Linked DNA regions of Alligator mississippiensis. The main gene of each other region encodes a partner of the protein of the gene in region 2 in a complex. Links are inferred from orthologs where the notes say so. Each region holds a gene or a part of one and is shown on either strand. Other genes may lie near its edges. The genes, in order: PRKCI and LLGL1.

The links.
Region 1: the proteins of LLGL1 (region 2) and PRKCI are in contact, whole or in part, in a cryo-EM structure (PDB 8R3Y), measured with the Homo sapiens proteins. The link is inferred for Alligator mississippiensis from reciprocal best matches to the Homo sapiens genes LLGL1 and PRKCI. Residues at the interface, in NP_004131.4 of Homo sapiens: Ala315, Asp319, Glu367, His391, Ser392, Ala394, Thr396, Glu453, Cys483, Glu484, His485, Phe506, Asp507, Pro508, Tyr509, Ser510, Asp511, Pro513, Gln518, Lys519, Lys569, Ala600, Val601, Thr602, Leu644, Gly648, Pro649, Leu650, Ser651, Arg652; in NP_002731.4 of Homo sapiens: Asp339, Met341, Gln345, Arg348, Leu381, Asp382, Met399, Thr412, Phe413, Cys414, Pro417, Leu425, Glu445, Gly449, Arg450, Ser451, Gly457, Ser458, Ser459, Asp460, Asn461, Pro462, Asp463, Asn465, Thr466, Glu467, Asp468, Tyr469, Leu470, Phe471.

The regions. Positions count from the first base shown.
Region 1 is NC_081830.1:74,795,258-74,806,682, forward strand, and holds the start of PRKCI (protein kinase C iota type), read left to right. Parts: upstream 1-6,484; 5' UTR 6,485-6,502; coding exon 6,503-6,624; intron 6,625-11,425.
Region 2 is NC_081836.1:54,999,472-55,010,094, reverse strand, and holds the start of LLGL1 (lethal(2) giant larvae protein homolog 1), read right to left. Parts: upstream 5,043-10,623; 5' UTR 4,935-5,042; coding exon 4,854-4,934; intron 1-4,853. UniProt on the Homo sapiens protein: Cortical cytoskeleton protein found in a complex involved in maintaining cell polarity and epithelial integrity. Involved in the regulation of mitotic spindle orientation, proliferation, differentiation and tissue organization of neuroepithelial cells.

The DNA.
Region 1 (11,425 bases), on a different chromosome or scaffold from region 2:
CTGATATTTTATATTTAGGTTTTTATAACAATTAATATTACATGTAAGATTTCAAAAGATATCTGAGGGTAAACAAATCCCCTTGTTTTAAAATATCTCCAGTCTGTCTCCTTGTTTTACACCTTAGTGATGACGACTCCTAAATGCGTTCTCTCTCTCTCTCTCTCTCTCTCTCTCACACACACACACACACACACACACACGCGCACACACACACACACACACACACACACACTTTTACAGGTCCATTTAAGTCAGGGGACTTCCTAGTTAATTTAACTAAAATATTACACCTAAAATGTGTGTGTGTGTCCATTCATACGTATATGTATAGATAGATAGATAGATAGATAGATAGATAGATAGATAGATAGATAGATAAAATGTTCTTAGCTTTTCTTTGAAACAGACATTTTAAAACAAGTCACTTGGGCCTGTGTGATGTATTTATTCATTGATTGATTTGATTTGATTTGATCTGATTTAATTAATATACTGTCCTTTCAAACAAAGGCTGGATTAAAACAAGAGAAGAGAATAATTTATAAAACAGGAGAAGGAACAAGAGAACAAAACAACTTGAAAGGGAACTGGTGTATCAACATAAAACAGAAACTTCTGAACCATATCCCAAACTACCTGTGTTTGCTAAATTAAGCTTTTTGTGAATTTGTTGAAGTTAATTCCAAACGAGATACTACAGGAGTAATGAAGAACCAACTAGTGACTGAGTGTTTGCACATTACAGTAAGGTCTCCTATAAACTGAAAGATGCCAGTAAAATTGCTTTTTCCCAAAAATGGTGGTGTATGATCAAAGCTTTGAGGATATAAGCTAGCTCATTTAATGATAGATTGCGTATCTCTTTTCTGCAGTTGGCAGTATTTTTAGTGCAGTTCAGAATTCTTACTTTTATCTCTAGTCTTCAAAAGATGTATGTAATGCTTTAGAAGTGTGATTTTTTTTCATGGGTAATCTATACTTCTAAACAAAAGTGATTAAGTACCGAAATCAAACCAAACAGAGATAGGATAATAAAAGCCAGAATGTAAATACAACTAGGGAGTATCTGAGTCTAGGCAGGCTGGGAGTAATAAAATGTACTGTGTGGGGAAAATAAGTCAGAGTACAAAACAGGATTTTACAGGGTTTAAGAGTAAGAGACTTTCTGGCCAACAGATTAAGGGAGAGATTAATCCCAAGAGTGGAAAAGACTAAAAAGCTGATGAATGAGGAAAAAATTAGATCCTCGCCATAGGGCTGGCAACTCTCAGACTACTGATGTAACAGAGTTGAACAGTATATTGTTCAACAATATAGTATCAGTAGTCTAAGAGTATAGTGTTCAACTCTGATGACCCAGGGGAAGCAGGGATGCAAGAGGTTCAGACACAAAGGCCATCTCCTGAAGACACAGTATGCACAGACCGTTCTGAAAAAATTAATACAAAATCTCCTCCAGTTATGGTGAGCTGGCAAAGGGAAGTACAGCAGTTTGGAGTGACTTTGTATGATGAGGAAGTTTGCTTTGTAAATTTGAACAGGACTGAATCTTTCATTCAATCGCTAGAGACTGTTTTATAGCATTACCCCCAGGATGGACCTGAATGATTTATTTTTTAGCTATGGTTAAAGAGCAATACACTTTTGTTTATTATTAAATAAAATTAGCAAAAAACAGAGGTACTCTGAATGCAGATGATTTCCTGAACTGGGTTAGTAATCTGCTACAGAATAATGCAAAGATAGTGGGGAATAGGACAGTACAACCCACTGTAGCAGTTATAAAATGCTGGGGACCTGAAGAATTAAAAGCTAACCCAGATAGCCAAATAGTGGACTCAGTATAGTGGACAGTTTTGATGATAATGTGTGTTTTGCTGGCAGGTTTACGGTAGTTGTGACTGATGGGAAACACACTACTACTGAGCTTTTAGGTGGGGCTACAATGAGAACTTGCGGGGGGGTTCCAATCAGAATAGATGATGATCAGTGATGGAGTCATACTGGCACAGCATGTAGGAGGCACCACTAAGGCGTAAAATAAAGGTTCAGTCTGGAGACATTTTAAAACAAGGGGATTTGTTTACTTTAGGACACCTTTTGAACTGTTACATGCAAGAATCATTGCTATGAAATCCTGTACATAAAAAAAATCAGTATTGTGTGGACATTTTTATGACTTTTGCTATGCTGTGTAGGGCCATAATAATCATGGCTGGTGTTTTTGTTGCCATCTGTATTTGACCACAAGAAGTATAGAGGCAGCAGGACTTAGCCAGAGATATGACTTGTCAGGTGTTTTGGAAGACTTGAATATGTCCTGAGGGACACATGGACCTAGTGATTCAAGCAAAATTTGCTGCATGCCTCAGTTCTACAGGGACAAAAGCTGCAAACATAAAGGTCAGTGTTGAAATCCATGTTGATCTAAATAATATAAAATAGCATTAGAGCCCTGAAATTATTGGAAAATCATGTCTCTTTATGATTTTGGATGTGGACAAAAGACTAATGTGGATATACCTAATTGCATCTTGTCTAGATTGCAGGGAGACCTTGGCAGAATTTAAGGGTTAAGACTGTGTTCTGGACTTTGTCAATACATTTATGGCTATGTGGTTAGAAGAATGATTTCAAAGCTTACATTCAAACATTATGAAATATGCTTGTCCATAGGTGGCTGATAGGAAAGCTGCATGTAGACTGGATAGCTCAGAGAAGTAAACTAATGAGCAAAGGCCTTGGACTTTCATTGTATTGACTCTAAACTTAGCATGAAGCTCAGTAGAAGTCAAAGACCATGGCTTTTGAAGGGGCCAAAAGCTGTTTTCCATACTAATGTTCTTAAAAAGAACAACTATGCTAGGCCTATGACTTAGCTGCAGCACTTGGGGGGGTGGATCATATGCTTTCCGAGGAGAAACCAGGGTTTCTGAAACAACATCCTTGACCTGTAAAAAGATCTGGTATATTATTACCACTTGGATGTAAAAATGTTGCAATAAGATTGTATCCTGTACAAGAATCCCTAGAAATAACTGTTAGTGGTTATAAAAATTGTTCTGTCATATAGCTCCCATTCCAGACAACTACCCTGGGCAGAAAGAGCCTCTGCCATAACTGTTTAGTGGCTGATAGGTACAGTTCATACTATGCATGTACAACATGCCTCAAGGGTGAACACTTTCAAATAAATTGCTGCTTTCCAGATGGTTGCACAGTTAACAATGACAAAGCCACAGCTTTTGAATGTACTGACTCATTTTTCATGGGTGAGCCATCTCCTATTGTGAAAAGGTATAATATCCTTTGGTCAGGTCAATGCTTGTTCAATTTTATCATCAGACAAGGTTTAGGACTAATTTTCTTTAAAGACAGGGATTTGTAATCAGGGACAATGGGAGCCCAAATGGAGAGACATGTTATTGCCTTACAAGGAACTTTCAGATTTTCTAATAGCTAGTTCACCTCCAGTGCCCCGAGATGGTGTTTTGAAACTAGGACTATTAGTGTTTGTCCATATTAGAAACCTGTGTCCAATGAACAAAATAAATATTATTATTTTTACCAGCCTGTACCTGAATGCAAACAAGAAATACCCAGTTGGAATCACTTAAATTATTTATGACAATTTTAATTTGCATTCACGTGCTTTGGAAGCACCAATGTTAAAATAAACCTCCACAAGGACTGCTTTTTTTACCCTTGCTGTCAAACTTCTGTTTCATATGTCTGGTACATACAGAGTCTAAACAGCATTTGCCTTGGAGAAATGATGACAAAAAGAAGGCAATCACAAGCAGCCAATGCACTATAAAATCGAATGGGGCGAGAAAAAACAGAATCCGGTTGGCCAAAATCTGTGATAGTGGAATTTATCTGCAAGACTGGATATGTTATTTTCTGAAAACATGACATTACACATGCAACAAAAACAAGATTTGTCAGGGTTTCTCATCTGATACAAGGGCATGATCAAACAAAATCACTAGACCAGTTATATCTAGGAGAAAGAAAGTATTTATTTATATTAAGGTCAAATTAAGGTAAACTCCAATGAAAAGTTGCTATATTGTTTCTAATCTCCTTGTAGAGGAAGTTCACACAGGTACTGACCCTCTATCACCAGTTCAGTGGATGATCTTCATAAATTCTGACACTAGGGGTCAGATTCTTAAGCCTGTTGCAGAAAAAACTACTACTATCAAAGTGATTTTGACAGAAACAGATTTTTGTATGCAGAATCACTCACTTTTTAGTAATCACTTAATTGACATGCCTTATTCCATCACCTATGTCTCTATATCTGTCCTGAAGAGTGCATGCCTTTCAGCCTGTTTTCCAGTTGTGATTTCTATTCCACCACATTTGACTGACTTCTAAGTATTGTAGCCATACTACTGGAACTTTGGTAAATGCAAGACCTCTTGTTTAATACTGGCTATTAGAAAGTTAGGTCCATGGATTCCTTATTTTTTTCTGAGGTGTTTAACAAATGAATTGACTGTCTGGCTTGTTGCAAGTCATCAAGTAGAATTTAGACAATCTTGCAGCTAAATTTCTAGATTTGTTTTCCTTTCCCAACAATAAGCTATAAACCTGTTGCTCCTGTTGCCACAGCTGTTTAAGTAGGTGGAGTGTCAAATATTTGACAAAGAGCTTTCTGTTTTCTTCTGGCAAGTTATCGATTGCCTGTACTTACTGCCTGCAGAAGTAAATACAACCCAAAAGCCATATTGGTGTGTATGGTGGCAGGGGGAGAGATAATGCAGTTGATCACTCAACCAGCTCACTTTTTTGGAGTAGTTCAGAGTGTTCCTCACCAAATGATGTTTCACTCACAAATCTGAGTACACTGTTGGAGCAATTTATTTCTGTAATTGCATCCTGTTACACCTGAATGCTGCTGCATTGAACACTGTAGCTCATGCCAGTTTTAGTAACTGACTCAATCACAAACTCAACACAGTGGTAACTCTTAGCACAGTTCTAGAAAAGGAGCTTTACAGTACATTTCGAAGGAGAAAATGGACTGCTCTAGATGCCAGTTTTAGCACATGCATTGGAAGCGGAACTGACATTAAAGTTAACAGGAACTGGACTGGGCTTAAATCCAACAAAGCACTTAAGTCAACAGGATCACCTAGTGCTTTGTGAGGCGTGTACTTGGTTTAATTGGAGCCAACAGAAGAATTTGAAGTCTGACTGTTCTCACTTTGCCACAAGCAGAGTACTCTGATAGGTATATTTTAAAATCTAAAAATGCTGCCTGTGCAAGGTCTTGTGGGAATGTCCTGAGATGGCCAACGATAATAATCAGCTTGTAGAGGACTAGTTATCTAATCGCCCACACACTTAGAGGTCTCCATAATTAAACTCTCAACAACACTTAGCTATTTCCTATTAAAAATAGAGAACATCCAGCTTTTTGTAACACATTGCTGCTCGTATAATACAAAATCTTACACGGCAGCAGCAATACCCTTGGCATTGTTAGTATAAGTTTTTGTAGCTGGGTAAGCTTAGTCCAGTGGTTCTTTGCCTTTTTGGACTCGAGACACCCCATGAACAATGACAACTTTTAGTTTTCACTCCATTTTTGATGGCAGAAAGGATATTAGAGTAGATGTGATATCTTTTATTAGACCAACTGAATAGTTGGAAAAAAGTTCTTAGCAAGCTTTTGGGCGCAATCGCCCTTCTTCAGGCATAGGAACAGCAGAGACTCCCTATGCCTGAAGAAGGGCGATTGCGCCCAAAAGCTTGCTAAGAACTTTTTTCCCAACTACTCAGTTGGTCTAATAAAAGATATCACATCTACTCAAAGAACCTTGCCTGCCCATGTCCCTAGACCAGTACAGCTACCCCCAGCAACCCAGAAAAATATTAGAAGAATTCTAACACGATATTAGAACCATTCTAACAACACTAGAACAATTAGAACAATTGCAAAGAACTCGGAAAAACCGCAACAGGTCACAACGCTTTGACATCTGCGGGTTTGTCTGGTGAAGCACGTGTGCACGCTTAACATTGGGGGCAGCCTTGCAAGGATTTCCAGGCTGCTGGGGTTGCCGTGGCTGGGAATCACTGGCTCACTTCCTGCCCTCTGGCCCGATGCTGAGCAATCCTGGCAACCCTGTCCCCGTGCATCCACGGGGATTCAGGAGCACCGGCACTGCCCGCCCCTCAGTCCCAACCGGTCCAGCACGCGCGGCGGACTACAAGTCCCATCATGCCTCACGGCTCCGGCATTGGGTTGTACCAACTGCCGTGGATTGAGGAGGGGGGGAATCCTCCTAACCCCGAGCACCTTCGAAGCGGCCCGCCCCCCGCGGTGTGAGCACTTGGTTCAGGCCGCGGGCAGGGGGCGGGGCAGAGGCGCTCCGGGGCGCGGGGGTAGCCGCCGCCTCTTCGCGCCGGGCCCTCGGGAGCGGCCGCCGCCGGGGAGGGAGGCGGGAGGGCAGGGGCGGGCGGGCGGGCGGGCGGGCGCGCGGCGATGCCGACGCAGCGGGAGGGCAGCGGCGGCGGCGGTACCACCATGTCCCACTTGTCGCTGGGCGGCGGCGGCGGCGGCGGCGACAGCGCTCACCAGGTCCGCGTCAAAGCCTACTACAAGGGGTGAGTGCGGCGGCGCCGCGTGTTCGGGGGCAGGCGGCATTTTTGGGAAGAGAGGCGTTTCCTTCTGCCCCTCCCTGGCTCCTCCAGGCCCCCGCTGAGCCTTGGCCCTTTGTTCCAGGGGTTTGCACAGTGCTTGGGAAGAGACCCCCCCCCCCCTTACCATCTAAGCAAGGGCAAGACTTGGCTTTGGAGAGAGATGAGCAAATAAAAATAAAGAACTAAGAGCGTGAGGAAATGCATCAGTGCTTTCATTAAGCCTGCATTGCTTTCCCTTTAGTAATCCATGTAATAATCACGGTTAAGATAAGGCCAAAAGCCACGCGATGATTGGGACAGTTTATATAGAGCTGTACGCGTGATATTTTGCTTGTCACTTCCGTCCGTAGCATCTCTGGTAGACCGGCTTTTTTTTTTTATTTTTTATAAAGAAATATCTGAATGGTGTTTGCGTGAGCATTTTGAGGTGTTAAATTACTTAGATTGTGTGCAGTTGAAAGCCATTTAAGATTTCATCGCTAACAAGAACAACAACGTGTTTCTTGTGTGCGGGTCGGTGTGAGATGCCTCTCTCCGTTCACCTGGGTGTAAATGCAGTTGTCAGTTCAAGTAAAGGATTGAAACTAACCAACTCCCTTTGTGACTCACGTTAATGATCCCGGTTATAAACAAGCTGTCTAACTGGAATGCCTTCCTCGTGAGCTGTATGAAGGTCTCATTTATACATTTCCTGCCCACCCCCACTATTTTCCTCTAACTTTATGCACTCCAAAAAATTCTCTCATGCTCCATTCAGCCTGTCAGACTCTCATCTTAAACTATCAGAAACCTTGCTAGAATATACGATTTTACTTATGTCTGGCTTCACACTTGGGGACTGAAGACCTTAAACTCTCTGGCCCCCTAGCTAGCATGGAGACAGTGCTTTTGCTCAAGGAATTTGGCTAGGGAAACTGTTTTGAAATTATAATTTTTTCTCTTCAGAAAAAAGTTGTTGGAGCTGACATAAGTGTGTATGTACATGCCTGCGTATGTATATGTACATGTTCTGATGGACCTTCACCAGGGAAGGTTTCTTGGCACAGGGATAGAATTTCTGCTCAAATCCAGGGGGTGGACATTTTTATGGTGGTACAAAGGCGAAGCAAACCAACATCCATACCCCCTTGTCTTGTGTCAAATGCCTAAAACTTGTGGTCATAACTTGTGACTTGGTAGCAGCCTATAAGTATACAAGGGGTGTGCATCAGGATCTGGGGGAACCCCTGTTCAGAGCACCCGAACGAAAGACAACGTCCAGTGGTCACAAACTCCTGGAAGACCATTTTAGGCTGGACATCAGGCAAAAAACTTCTTTACCATCTGTGTTCCCAGAGCCTGGAATAGCACCTGTAGGCACCTACTCCAGACACTTTTAAGAAACATTTGGACACTTATCTTACTGGGATTCTTTGACCCTAGCTGACTTCCTGCCTCTTGGGCAGGGGCTGGACCCAGTGATCTTCCAAGGTCCCTTCCAGCCCTAATGTTTATGAAATCTATAATCAATTTGTGATGCTTTATTACAGCAGATGTCTTTTAGGTTTATGGTGGGAGAGTGTGGTCAGCTCAGAGCTGCTGATGCTTTCCAGCAGCCCTGGGCTGGCACTCCCATGGTTTCAGAGTCTCAATCCCATGTGCCCTGAGAATTCCCATTCCTGGGGCAAGCAGGATCAGGCCCCGAAGGCCTGGGAGCACCTGCCTGGGTTCCCCTGTTTGGGATTTCCCAGACATCCATTGACACTCTAGTATGGTCCCAGACCTGAGACGGACAATCAGCTTATTGGCGGGGCCTGGGCCTTGGACCACACTGGAGTACGGAAATTGCTCCAGTGTAGTCTTGGGACTGAGGCTGCCAATCAGTTCACTCGTGGTTCCAGCCCCAGGACCACAATGGTGTATGTAGCTCTGTCTGATGTGGTCTCCAGGGCAAGTTTCTGTAAGCTGAGAAAGCTAGGGTTTCCCTTGTTAGAGATGTGCCCCAAAGATTTCCAGGGCACATCTCTGTTAGTGGGGAACACATTGCCCATTGTCCCACAAGATCAATGGCGGGACAATGGGCAATCTGTGTTTTGCCCAGTGAGGTGGATCAGTTATGCCAGGCGCATCCTGGCACTCCTCATCTGTTCCATTTGGTGCCATCTATTTCTAGCCTTAGAGCAATAAATAGTCTACCCAGGTCTCTTGCCAGGGAAGTCAAGTCCCTTGTCTGAATCAAGTAGGCCAGAGTCTTGAACTTTGTTCTTACCACATTGCAGGTTAATGCCCTGCCTGCTACAGGCCTGAAACAAGTCTCTTCATAACTCTTGGCTTTTGACAAGAATTTTATAAAGTCTGGGTTTACTCTGTAAATAGGAAAACTTCTGAAATTTAATTTTAGTGAAATCAAAACTTCATGAAAATCTGTTTTTGCTCAGTTGTAAGATATCTATTCAAGGGCTTTGTTGCTAGAGTATCAGCTGTGAAGTGTGTGAATTTTAACTCTTGGAGTTGCTGAAGAATTAGGTAGCAAAAACAGTCATCTCATTGCAGTAGGACTTGAGGGCTCTTTTGGGAACCTTAACCATATTCAGCCTGATTTATTAGAGCCTAGATCATTTGTTAAAGAGTGGCAAAGGTTCTCAGATGGTGCTGTAGCATTCATAAGAGATTCAACAAAAATTCAAAGAGCATATGAGTTTGATGAACAGTTTGAGGCACTATACCAGGGTAGGAAACCCCTGGCACAGGTGCCAGAGCATGGTGCACACAGGCATTTTGCTTGGCATGCGTGCCTTGGGGCAGAGGGTGGGGAAGGGGGCTGTGCTGCAACAACAAGGATTGGGCCCCTCATGGCTCCTCTGCCATCCACCCTTAGCACACCAACATCTTACAAGTTGAGGTTGTGGGTGTTTTTACCTAAAAGCATTGCTGACCCCTGCACTTGACTTTGCCAACATCCATAGGTGTAAGGACTCCAGAACTGGGTGTTAGCTGTAGCCAAACTGGGGATTTTGACTAGGATATGCTAATGTTCCTGCTTGGGCTAAAACCTTGAGGGTTCCTGGTTTAGAGGATCTTACCCCCTGCTCAGAGTCGGATCGATTGCTAAATTCAGAGGGTCAGGAAGGAATTTTATCCCATGATCAGATTGGTATAGACTGTGGTGGGGTTTTGCCTTCCTCTACAGTGTGGGGCATAGCCCTTTTCCTTACATTGCTCAGGTGTATTTTAGCACCCCTTACAGCAGCAGGACACTAGCTGCCATTGTTCTCCTGCTTTACCTGTAGCAGGTTAGGGTGTTATATATGATCCCAGTACTGTAGAAAGAAAATGAATTAACCAGGAGAGGCACAGTTTAGAGTGGCATAAATTATAGTGACATGTATGTTGCTGGGAAGATAAGTCTAGAGTATGTCTCATTGCTAATGGCAAGTCTTGAAAAGGAACCATTATCCACAAATGAGTATTACTTGTGTTTAGGGACTAGTATGGATAACAGACTTGTGATATACCATCAACCTTTCAGCTGTGTAGGCTGCAATGTAGATCAAACCTAGAGCATAGTTTGATGACAGGGAAAAGATGCTTGTGTCCCACATACAGTGGAAATTATACCCTTGATGAAATGGGTAACAAACTTTATGATACAAATAAGTTTGGAGGATTGGTGTTCAATCTATATATTTATGAAAAAATACTAAATGAACTAAAATATTAAAATGTTTATACATCTCATTTTAATATCTGAAAACTAATTTATGATTAATATGGTGTCTTCCACTGAGGACATGAGAAGCGTGAAAGTGGATTGCATAGTAGAGGCTAAGTGGCCTCCTCGTGAGTAAAAACAAGAAAATACTTACGATGAGATGCCAGAAGTGGCACGTGTTAACTTGCCTTTTCTTTTTTATTAATGAAGCTTGTGTGAGTAGGTAGGGGAAATAATGGTTTAATATAAGTCAGAAGTCAAAAGATACCACACAAACAATTGCTTTGCTTTGTGTTCCCAAATGAATTATTAAGTTAATAGTGCAGCAAGTCTCTGCATTGTTTGACACAATTTCTTTCAGCAGAGTAGTCTGTCAAATATGATATTCTGTGAAGGAGAACATAAATATTTTAAGTGTTTATGCCTTTTATGTACATAAATATATTCATATCTGTCCCTGCTTCATCACAAAATTGATTTAGTTATGAGGATCAGTGGATCCTTGGACATAGCTAGGAATAAAACCTCACCTGCTCTTCTAGTGTTAATCTCCAGACTGTAAACTTCTGCTATGGGGAGAACTGCTTTAAATCAGTGGTTCTCAACCTCTTTGTCCAGATGGGCAGTACCCTGTCCCTCCACAGCCCAGAACTGGCCTGTGGACCCAGTCTGGTGCCTAGGGCAGGCATGGTGGGGGCTGGGGGGAAGTCTGGCCCTGATCCAGCCCTGCTGAGGAAGGGGGCTATAGCCAGCAGTTGGCGGGGGGGGGGGTGGCTCAGTCCTGACCCAGCCCTGTAGACAGAGGGGGCATGGCCAAAACCCACAGGAGGAAGGGGGAGTGGCCTGGCACCAACCTGGCCAGGCAGGAGGGAAGGGGGTGTGGCCCAGCCCTAGATCACACAGGGAGCAGGAAGGGCAAAAAGAGAGGCATATAAGCAGTGGAAACAGGGAGAAATTACTAAAGAGGAGTATACCTCCTCAGCTCGCAGTTGTAGGGAGGCAGTTAGAAAGGCCAAACCTACCATGGAGCTGAGGATGGCATCCCAAGTTAAGGATAACAAAAAATTGTTTTTC
Region 2 (10,623 bases):
ACATACTGGGTTTCCACAAGCAGCACTGCGCTTTCTGCACGGCCTTGATGGGGCAGGCGTGGAGGGGAAGGCGACTGGATCCATGCTCCCCACTAGGACCCTGCACAGCCCCTGCATGGCCTGGGCCAAGACACTGGTCTGTAGTGGGGACACCCGTGTTCCCTGACTTGCAAGGATGGGCACCTGCAAGCTCAGCCACCGTGGGGGGCACAGGGGGTGCCAGGTTCCTCGAGCAGGAAGGCAGCAGCTGGAGCTCTGCCTACTGGTTATCACCCATGATAGCAGGAGCCCTAGCTGCTGCCCACCGAGCTCCTGCCACTGTCCCCAAGGGGCTGCCCGAACATAAGCCTGACACAGATGCTGCACCCAGGGGACGGCTGGAGACTCGCGTCAGCTATGTATAACAGCGCTCAGGGCCTCTAACGTGCCAGTGATCTGGTCAAGCTGAATATTCGAGCACTGCCTGCAGATGTCCCAGCCACAGAACCACCTGGCAGGTCTGCACATCCCCCAGGACCCCCGAGCTCCTATCACCCATCATCCTGCTCACCAGGGAAGTGGTCACTGCTGCAGGGCATCCCCTGCCCATGTCCCTTCAACGTTCAGCAACAACCCCCTGGCAGGCCTGGTACATGGCACCGAGAGCACCACCTGGAACATCCCGTGCCCAGACACCTGCAATCCCCTTTGCATGCACTGGCTGCAGAGCCGGGGGGGCCTGGCACATGGGGACCGCCCGTCATCAGGTATCCACTGCCTCTTCATCTTCCTCCCAATGCATGGGCCCGAATGTCCCCCCACACCCAGCATCCCACCCATGTGTCACTGTCCAGATCCTAGAGGAAGACAGGCAACAGCAACTCTGCCCCTTCTGGCACTGTCAGCCCTTTCCAGGTGGGCCCTGCTCATCCTTCTCCCCCCCACATTGCTGCTGCTACCCCCAGCCTTGTCCTCGGCACAGCAGAGACACTTGGAGCAGAATCCTTCTGCCCAAGCAGCGCTGACAGACTGGCCAGGCAGCAGACCACAGCCACATGCTCCTCACCCCAATACAACTGGGAGACACTGGGAAATGAGGTCTGTGAGAACTGGTTCCAAGTTTAACCTGGGGAACAAGTGATGCACCCACAAGACAGCAGCTGGATGGTACTGTGACCGAGAGACCAATGAGCCTTGCAAGTGCAGCACCTGGGAGCTTCAGATCTGCAGATTTTAGCTGGGTGCTAAGAGCCCCTTGGAGACCGAATCAGTCGCCAGGATGCACAGACCCAGCCCTCGGGATGGCACCAGGATGCAACACAGGCCAGCGCACAGGAAGGCAAAGCTGAATTTCAGCAGGAGCTCTGCAGAGAGGCCAGGCCAAGGCAGGAAGAGAAACCAGTCCCATGCAAAGGTACTGGGTGCCAACCTGCCTGTGGCTGCCAGGGAAGCACGGGGGGGGGTGCCTGCCACGCCAGCCCAGGCCAGACCCAGGCCTGGAAACCCTTGGGCTGTGCGAGAGCCCACGACCAGATCCAGTTCTGCAAAAGCTGCTCCGAGTCCAGTCCATGGAAGAGGGGCTAGAGCACGGGCATTACTGCAGCTGCAGACAGCAGCCCAGGGCTCCATGCTGCAAGCACCACTTGACCCATGCTGCCCATAGGCCTGGCTGAGCCAGTGGCTCTAATGGCACCAGGAAGGGGATCAAACCTTGACATCTTCCAACAGCCACCTCACGTGGTGGGGAGAACCAATCTCCTTCAACAGGTGCCCTGCAAATACCCAACACCCGCAGGGGCACAGAAGAGCCAGCTTCTAGCAGCATGGGCAGCACAAACACCTTCACGTCGCTGGGCAAGGTGGCCACGGACGGAGCGGAGGTCAGGCCTGCAAGGGGCTGGACAGATGCAAACTCATCCTTAGTCCACGCAGTGCAGCCCAGGTGCCCGGCTTCTCTGCATGGCCCTCTGGACCCCACTGCAGATGCCGGGGAGGTGGAGGACCAATCTAACACCCTCTCCTTCTGGACTCTGGGTCCAGACCTGCCAAGAAATCACTGCAAAGCACCTCAACAATGGGCAAATGTGGGGCTTCTAACTCACGCCCAGGACCCCTCTTCTTCCCCAGGTCAAGATGCTCATGATGCAACACAAACACCCAAGAGCACAGCAGCCCCGAGGCTGAGAGATGACCAACGTGCTCCCCGCACGGGTGCAGCAGCCTTTGGCAGCCTCCAGATCTGCAAAGGCATCTCGTCGCCCCATGTGCTGGGTCAGCACCCACCACACGCAGCCCTCAGGTTACCAGCCTTCATCCAGCCCTGCCTCTGCCCTACTTTGGGGATCGAGCACCAGTCACAAAGACACCTGCTCATCAGGAGACCAACTGCAGCAACTGGAGAATGTCCTGGACCCCGTGGCATCCCAGAAGGCCAAGGCCATGCTTCCAGGAGGCAGCTGGGGTGGAAGCAGGTATCCAGGGCAGGCTGCTGTGCAGCTGCAGCCCCATCCCCGGATAGAGGCCGAATCGACCCATTTCTGACAAGGACAGCGGCCAAAACCCCCCCTTGTCAGAATTAGCCGCCGGCTACTAGCAGGGTCCTTGAGAGATCAGGCCAGCAACCGACCTCTGGGACCGGGAGCGACACAATAACTCGTGACCCAGCAAATCTCCCCTTGCCATGGTGCAGGACTTCTACCGCCAGCTGCAGACGACTCATTAGCCTGCCCGCCCTGGGTGCAACAGGGCCAGTCAGCAGCTCGACAACACCAGCCAACCCCACAGGACCAGCCAGGCCAGTCCCGGCTCCAGGCTCAGCACACGCTCGAGTCACAGCAGCCCAAAGCACCAGGCCCAGTGGATGCTCCACCTGCCCCAGCTGCAAACCTGGCAGCTGGCACGCAGCACCGCTGGAGTGAGCAGCTTGTGGGGCCAAGGGAGCTCAGGAGCCCCCAGCCAGCTCCCCGCTACCTGCCAGCTCGATGGAGGCGGCGTCCTGCAGTGGAGCATGCCACAACTGGTCCCACGGTGCTGGCTTGGCTGCAGGGGGCTGCTCTACGGGGGGACGGCTCCCCAAAGCATGACATGCCTGGGAGGGGAGGCTGCTGGCAGCCACCACGGCTTCCACATGGAAACCCTTGCAGCAGCTTGGCCCTTCTCCATGTGCAGCGGGGCCCAAAACCCACCAGCTTCAGCCCCATGCAGAGGCACCTGCATGCTGGGGAGCCGAGGCAGGAAAGGCGGCATGCACACACGGACTAGCCCCCTGCTTCCTGCAGGGCTCCTGCACCGCCTCCCCGTGCCACGCACCCACACACCCCGAGAGCGAGTCCACAGCCCCTCTCCCCAATAGACGGTTGTGTCCCAAGCCATGCACAGCGATGCACAGCGCTGCTGCAGGCTCCCACGCAAGCTCGAGGGCAGAGAAGAGAGCAGCCTCAGCCGTTTGCCCCCTGCTCCCCGCTGGGGTCCGCAGAGGTGCCAGGTCTGCTCGTTCCCAGCCTTGCTCAAAGCCAAACAGCTTTGCTTAACAATGGAGACCGACAGCAGCAGGGAGCACAGCCCAGCACTTCCCTGCCCTTCTCCGGTCACACCAGGCACTTGGAGGAGAGGAGCCCCCTCCCTGTAACAACCCCATCTGGCTCCATCCCAGGACAGGCCAGAGCTCTCCCACGTGCTTCGAGTCCGAGCCACCGGGGATTGGCAGGCCCAGGGGGACCGTGGTGGAGCAGGGACCCCCCTACCTGGGCCACAAGCTCCTTGGGGCAGGTGGGACCTCCTCACGCTGGAGCCCGCGAGGAACAGGAGCGCTGGCATCGGGGAAGGGAAGGCCCTGAGAAGCCTCCTCTCCTAGCCCAGTCCGCAGCCCGGCTCCTGGCAGGCGAGCCGTCCCACACGGGCTGCCGGCACGAAGCGCAGCCCCGGGCTGGGGGCCGGGCACCAGGGGATGCCTGCAGGGGCCCTGGCCGGGCAGCCGTGGGGAGGGGATGCACCATCGTGTCCGGGGCTCACTGCCGTCCCCACGGGGCCTCTGCGAGCAGTCAGGAGGCAGAGGTGGGCGAAGGCCGGACAGCCAAGAGCCGGGGGCCGCGGGTCCCCCCAGCGCAGCCAGGTCGCCGCTCCAGGGAAAGAGCCCAGAGGGCTTGCTGGAGGGGGCAGCCCAGACAAAGGGCGCAGGCTGCTGACGGAGGAGCGCCCGGCACCGGGGGCTATACCCTGCCCGGAGCGAGGGCCACATCCCGCTGCCCCAAGGCCCCCGGCCGCGTGGGGACCCCAACCCAAGGGCCGGGCAGCAGCCCCCGGGGCCCCACCGTCCCCTCGCCCGGGGCCGAGGCTGGTTTGCTGGAGCCTGGCACAGGGGCTCTGGGCACCCGAGAGGGGCCGGGGTCGGAGAGGCGGGGAGGGGAGGGAAGGGGCCGCACAAAGCCCGAGCTGTGGCTCCAGCCTCCCGCTGCTTTGTGAGGCCCGCGGCATGTGTGCCCCCCCACACGTGCACAGCCTTGCACGCACGGCCCCCCTTACACACGCACTGCGCCCCCCTGCGTGCACACCCCCCGTGTATGCACACACACACACTACACACCTCCCTTGCACACACACACACTGTACACCCCCCGCACATGCATATGCATGCACACCCTCCATACATGTGTCCTGGCACACCCCCCGCCCTTGCACGCACACTGCACCCCTTGCACACCCCGCCCCCCCTGCACGCGCACACACACACTGCTTCCCGCCGGGTGTGCAAGCCTCGTCCCCACCACCGCTTCACCCCCCCCCCCCAACAGCAGGGAGGAGGATGCACACGTACCCCCCCAGCCCTTGTACACACACACACACGCACGGGGGAGGGGCAGGGGCGGGCGCGGCACCTTGTTGAAGGCGAACAGCTCCTGCTTGATCCGGTCGCGCTGCGGGTCGTGGCCCCCGCGCCGGAACCGAAACTTCATCATGGTGCCGGCGGCGGGGCTCGAACCGGGGCCACGCGGGGCGGGCCGGGCGCGATCGGACTCTGCTGCCGCCTCGGCCGCGCGGCGCCCTGCTGGGAGGGGGCGGGGCGGGGCGGCTCTTTTCAAGGGGCCCGCGGCTGAGTGACGCTCAGGGCAGCCAATCAGCGATTCCCCCTGCGGGCCCCGCCGACCAGACAATGCGGGCGGCGCCGGGCGGCTCCCCAGGGAGGGCGGCACCGCCTCGTGCGCGTGCGCCGCGTCCGGCCCGAGGCAGGCTGGGAGATGTAGTTTCCTGCTGCCAGCGTTGCTCTCGCCTGCCCCCTGGCGGCGGGGCGCGGCGCTGCCCTGCAGAGGGCTCAGAGCAGCCCTGGGGCTGGGGGGCCCCGCCCTGCCACCCCTAGGCACATGCGGGGGAACAGCGTCAGTGCCCACACCGTCTGCAACCCCCCAGTGATGGGCACCCGCAATTTATCACCTAACCCCCAGCTGGGGTCTGGGGGTGCCCCACGGTGCTGCAAGGAAAAGCAGGAGGTGCCTTCAACCCCTTGCAGCTGTGGGCGCTGGGTTCGTTCAGTCACCCCCAGGTGGAGGCACAGCTCCCTGCCAAAGGGCGGTGGGGAGTGAAATCCATGCCCGCCGTGCCCCCACTGCCCCCCGACTCCCGGAGCAGAGGCCGTCTTGCTCCTGGAGCCTCTGGCACGCGATAGGGCCATGCAGGAGCTCCAGGGAAGAAAGAAGAATCCAGGCGGGATCGTGCCCTGGTCCTTAGACGCGGATAGAGGCCCCGCTGAAGTCCTTGCCCCTGCAGTGCAGGCTCTGTGCGTCTCCCACCTGCCTCCGCCCCGGGCTCCCTGGGCAGCTCCCTCCGGGGGTGCATCCAGCAGCACCCAGGGCAGGGCACGGGCGTCCTAACCATGGGAGGTGAATGTGGGATAGGGATGCCCCAGCCAGCAGGGTCAAGCCCGAGGGCAAGCGGTGCCACCTATCCAGATGGGTACAGGGCCTCTAACCCTGAGACAGTGGGGGGCAGGGAGGGTGCAAATTCGCACCCCAAGTGGTTGCACCAGTGCTGCCTCTGCCTGGGCAGCGGCTGCCATGTGGGGGAACCCCCATAACCCTGGGGCATCAGGCCGGGCAGCGGGCACTTTGGGAGGGTGGGAGCACCCAGCAGTGCACCCGTGTAGACCAACCCAGGGGTGTTTCCAGCGGAGGGGGAAGATATCAGCCTTTTTTGCACCTGGGCTGCCTCCAGCTGCCCTGCAGGCCCCGGCATGGTGCTTAGCGCCCCCCGGGGCGGCCGTGGCAGGGGCTGGGGCAGGTGGCCCGCTGCAGGGGCAGGCCCCGCGCCTGGAGATCCACGTCACCGTGCAGTGGAAGCGAACTAATGAGAACCATTTGCATCCAGAGCAAAGTACAGCACTGTTGGCAGCTGGGCCAAACTCTCCCCTGGTGTTAAGCTGGACTGGCCGGCATCACCAGACAGGCTGGCAGCCGTGACACCGCTGAGCCAGGAGCTGTCGGATGTCTAGCGGAAACCCTCCAGGACCCAGCGCTGTCCCGTGGGGGTGCAGGCCCCCGGGGCGAAGGCAAGGGCAGTAATGAGACACGTGGCCTCATCTGCCCGAGTCACAGCCAGGAAACACTGAGTCAGGCCCTCCCGACCGGTGGTGCATGCTGCGTTTGCTTGGAGGTGTGCGTGGGCAGGGCCCGCTCTCAACTCGTCTGTACAGCGCCGTGCACACAGCTGGGACAGAAGCAGCAGCAGGGCTTGGGGATGTCGGCATTTCCTGGGGCTCCCGTCAGGGCATCACCCACCTGTCCCCGGCCCCCACCTCCTGCCGCATGCCCAGCCCCGGCTGGGAGAGCTAGTTGTGATGAACAAGCAGACGAACGAGCTGGTGCGGAGACAAGGCGCGGGGCCGGGAAGCCGTGACTCACCCGGCTGGGGCACGGGGCGACTGGTTGAGCCGCATGTCTGCGCCTCTGCCTCCGGCTGCAGGCAGGGACCGTGGGCAGGGGCAGGGTGAGGCTGGGCACGAGGGCAGGGCAGGGTGGCACCACGCCCAGCTTCTGCCCCCAAACATGATGCCCTGACGGGAGAAGAAAGAAACTGGCTCCGCACCCACCCCAGCCTGGGTAGCAGCTCATCACACACACACACACGCACACACACACACACACACACACACACACGTCCCAAAAGCTTCCCTACACACAAACCCTGTTGCCCCCCCGCACACACTTGCCATAAAGACAGACAAATACACACACACACACACACACACATGCGTGTGCACACACGCTCACCCCCAGCTGCCATGAAGGGCCCCCCCACTATCCCATCCCATCCCATCCCAGGAAACAAATCAGTCCAATGCTGACGGCTTCCAGCACAGCCACTCCCAGCTGCTCCGAGCCGTGGGCCAGGCCTGAGAGACTGGCTCAAAAGCCGCAGGCTTTGTGCAATAGTGATGAGGATAATGATTTATGATGATGATTGTTACTGTTGTTGTTATTATTATATTACTAAAACACTGCTATTCTTTGCATCCTGGTCCCCAAGCCTCCCGGGGCAGCTGGCCAGCTCTTCCCAGCACCCGGGAGGGCTGGGAACTCCCCCGGTTCTCTGGCATCCCCTGACTCCTGGAGCTGGGGCTTTAAGGACCTCCTGCAGATGCTGTAGGAGCCTGGATAGGGCCGATCAGATCTGGCATTTCCCCTTGAATTCAAGCGCCCGGCAGCGCCTCGCTATAGCCCCTGCCCTGCAGTGACATCAGCTACCAGCCGGGCACCGCGCAGCCTGGGCCAATTAGCACAGTGGGGTCATTACAGAAGCTGGGAGCCCCATGCTCCCAGCCTGAGCTCCACAGCTGGAGTAGGATGGAGCTGGGGTAAGCGCCCATGTGCCTGCTCTTACCCCGTAATAATGCTCCCGGACCATGCACCGGTGGCTGCGTGCCAGTGACCGCAGCAGGGGCTCAGCCAGGTGCCAGGGGCACTGCGGACAGGGCAGAGGACAGGACCAGCCCCATTCTGGGGCAGGGACGTGCATGCCGCCAGCGCTCTCCGGGAGCCCCCAGCACCTGCTCTCAGATCCGCAGCTCATTTCCATCTGCCGCGGCTGGGAGGAGGGCGCAGCCCAGCTGCAAATTCCCCGCGGTGCACAGGGTTTGCACAATGCATCGTGAGAGCTGCCAAGAGCACTGCCCTCGCAAGCAGCGGGAAGCCCCGGCGGTGCAGCTGCAGCACAGCCAGGCCAAGCTCAGGGCGCTCGGCTCAATGCCGGCCGCGCCTCGGGGCTCAGCAGCCTGCAGAGACCCCGGGCTCCTGGCCCCGAGCACCTGGCTTGCCCGGAGCCAGGTTCGTTCTCTCCGGGCCCCTGCTCCATCACCCACAGCTCAGGCTGTCCCCCCCTGCCCGCCTGGCTCTGGGGGTGCCTGCCCTACAGCACCCTGCTCAGCACCGGCCTCAATATTGCCATCGGACCCCTCCTATACGTCTCCAGGCACCACGTCCCGCTGCCCCCGGTCCCTGCGAACTGGCAGCCAGGTCTGGTGCCACGGGGCTGCTGCGGGGGCACGACAGGCTGGTGCAAAGCTGTCCCTCCAAGCCCCCAGGACCCAGTCCAGCCCCTGAGCACGAGGCTGTGCTGCCAGGCTGGTCTATTCCAGCCTCCTCTGGGCTCACACGTGGGCCAGGCCCGTGCAAGACACGGGACCCAGGGCTCCCCCACTGCTAGAGGCTTTGCTTATGGTTTAAATGAGCTTTAGCACATGAGACCGATGGTGGCTTGAAGGGCAGGGCAAGAAGAAGCCTCCTCCAGGGAGGCCGTCAGGATGCGGCCCCCTCGTTCAGGGCATCACGCTCCCCTCTGCGGGGACTGGCCCAAGACCCACCCTGATTGTAACCCCCTTGCAGGCTCTCGCCACTCCCCGCAGTGAACAACCCCAGGCGTGACCGAGCCGCCACCATCTTGGGACCAGCCCCTCTGCCCTCACTGCCGGCCCCAATCCTGCATCGCCCTCCCACCCTCTTGGCACCTCTGTCCCAACCCTCGTGCCGTTCCCTCCCTGCCCGGGCTCTCATGCGCTTGCATGGGGATGGAGGCGCATGCGTCCGCCAGGTGCAGGAAGCAGGAGGCAGCGCTCGGGTATTTTTGGAGCTGCCAAGAATAGCCGCGGTTCTGGGCCAGAGCGACGCAGCTGCTGCTGGAATTTCCCTGGAAACCTGCAGCCCTCGGGAAAGCAGCGGGGCGGGCGCTGGCCGCCCGGAGCAAACCCGGCCCGCGTGCCCAGTGGAGAGGGTGGCTGGACCTGGGCCCTGCACCGGGGGAACGTGTGGGAGGAAGAAACCCTGCCTCATGCCTCAACCCCGAGAAGAGGCAACGGTGTGAGGGGCGAGACCATATGCATGGGGCTGGGGCACGAGGGTGCCCGTCTGCTGGCCGTACCCATGGTGCCAGCCCACCTCGTACAGGTTGTGCCGTCCCATTTGCTGCAGGGGATGAGCTCTGCAAGCCAGAGGTGTCTGTAGCAAGGAGCGATCGGGGAAAACCCGGAAGAAGCCAGGCCGAGCGCTCCTGGGTGATGGATGGGGACAGGGCATGGGGTCGTGAGACACGAAGCCAAAGGTCAGAGGTCTTTAATTAGGTCTCTGTGCAGCGGGAGGGGAGCAGCTCTCTGGGCCCCGTCCCCAGGACAGACGAGTGGGCGCTGGTCAGGATGCTCTGCCGGCGAGGGGAACACGGGAGTCCAGGCATGGGGGGAAAGACCGGAGCCCTCCTTAACTGCTGCTAGGGGCCGACACGCACGTGACAGCCCCAGAAGCGGAGGCATTGCCCCCGCCGGTGCCTGGGGTACGAGCCTGGGCTGCCTTGATTGTCGTCACGTGACTGCGGCCACAGGAGAGTCAACTCCCGGCAGCCCCCGGCTGTGTTACCCCAAACTGGGACACGGCGCCCATTCACAGCCTTGGCTCACAGGTCACACAGACCCTTTGCTGAGAGCTAGGGGAAGGGGCGAGCCCAGCTCTGACACTGCTTCACTCCATAGCCTTGGGCACATCCCCTCACCTGGTCAGTAAGCCCGACATGCTTGCTAGCACTCTGGGGAAGGAGGAGGGTACTGAGGCAGCGGGGCCCTGCTCTCAGCACTGCCCCAGCACGAGCTGCAGGGCACAGCGATAACACCCATGCCGGGAACCGGCAGCCACAGCCCCATGTGGCCCCTCTGTGCCTCAGACAAGGCCCTTCCATCTCCGGCAGCTCAGTTGTTCCCTGAGGAGACGGGCTGCAGCGCCTGTCCTGCACGCGGAGAGCCAGGCCAGGGCCTTTGTGCTCGGCTCGGCTGCCCCCCAGCCCAGCGAAGCTGGACGGCGCCTCGGCGGGAGCTCCCCAGCTCCCAGGCCTGACCTCCAAGCTGCTGGGGACCCCAGCTCCCCCCGGCCTTTGCAAACCCATGGAGCAGATTCCTTCCCCTCTCCGTCCTGCCCCCTCCCACTCCGACGGCCTCACCGTCCAACGGCGCCTCCGCACTCCCCAATGAGATCCAGCTGCAGCTCCCCAAGCCCCCGGAGGCTCCCGTCAGCTTCCTGCACCTCCCAGCTGTTTGCACGGTGGCAGCTGAGCCGGGCCAGACGAGGACTGGGGTCCCCCGGCTGCGGTGGGGGACATGCCAGAACCCTCCAGCACCCC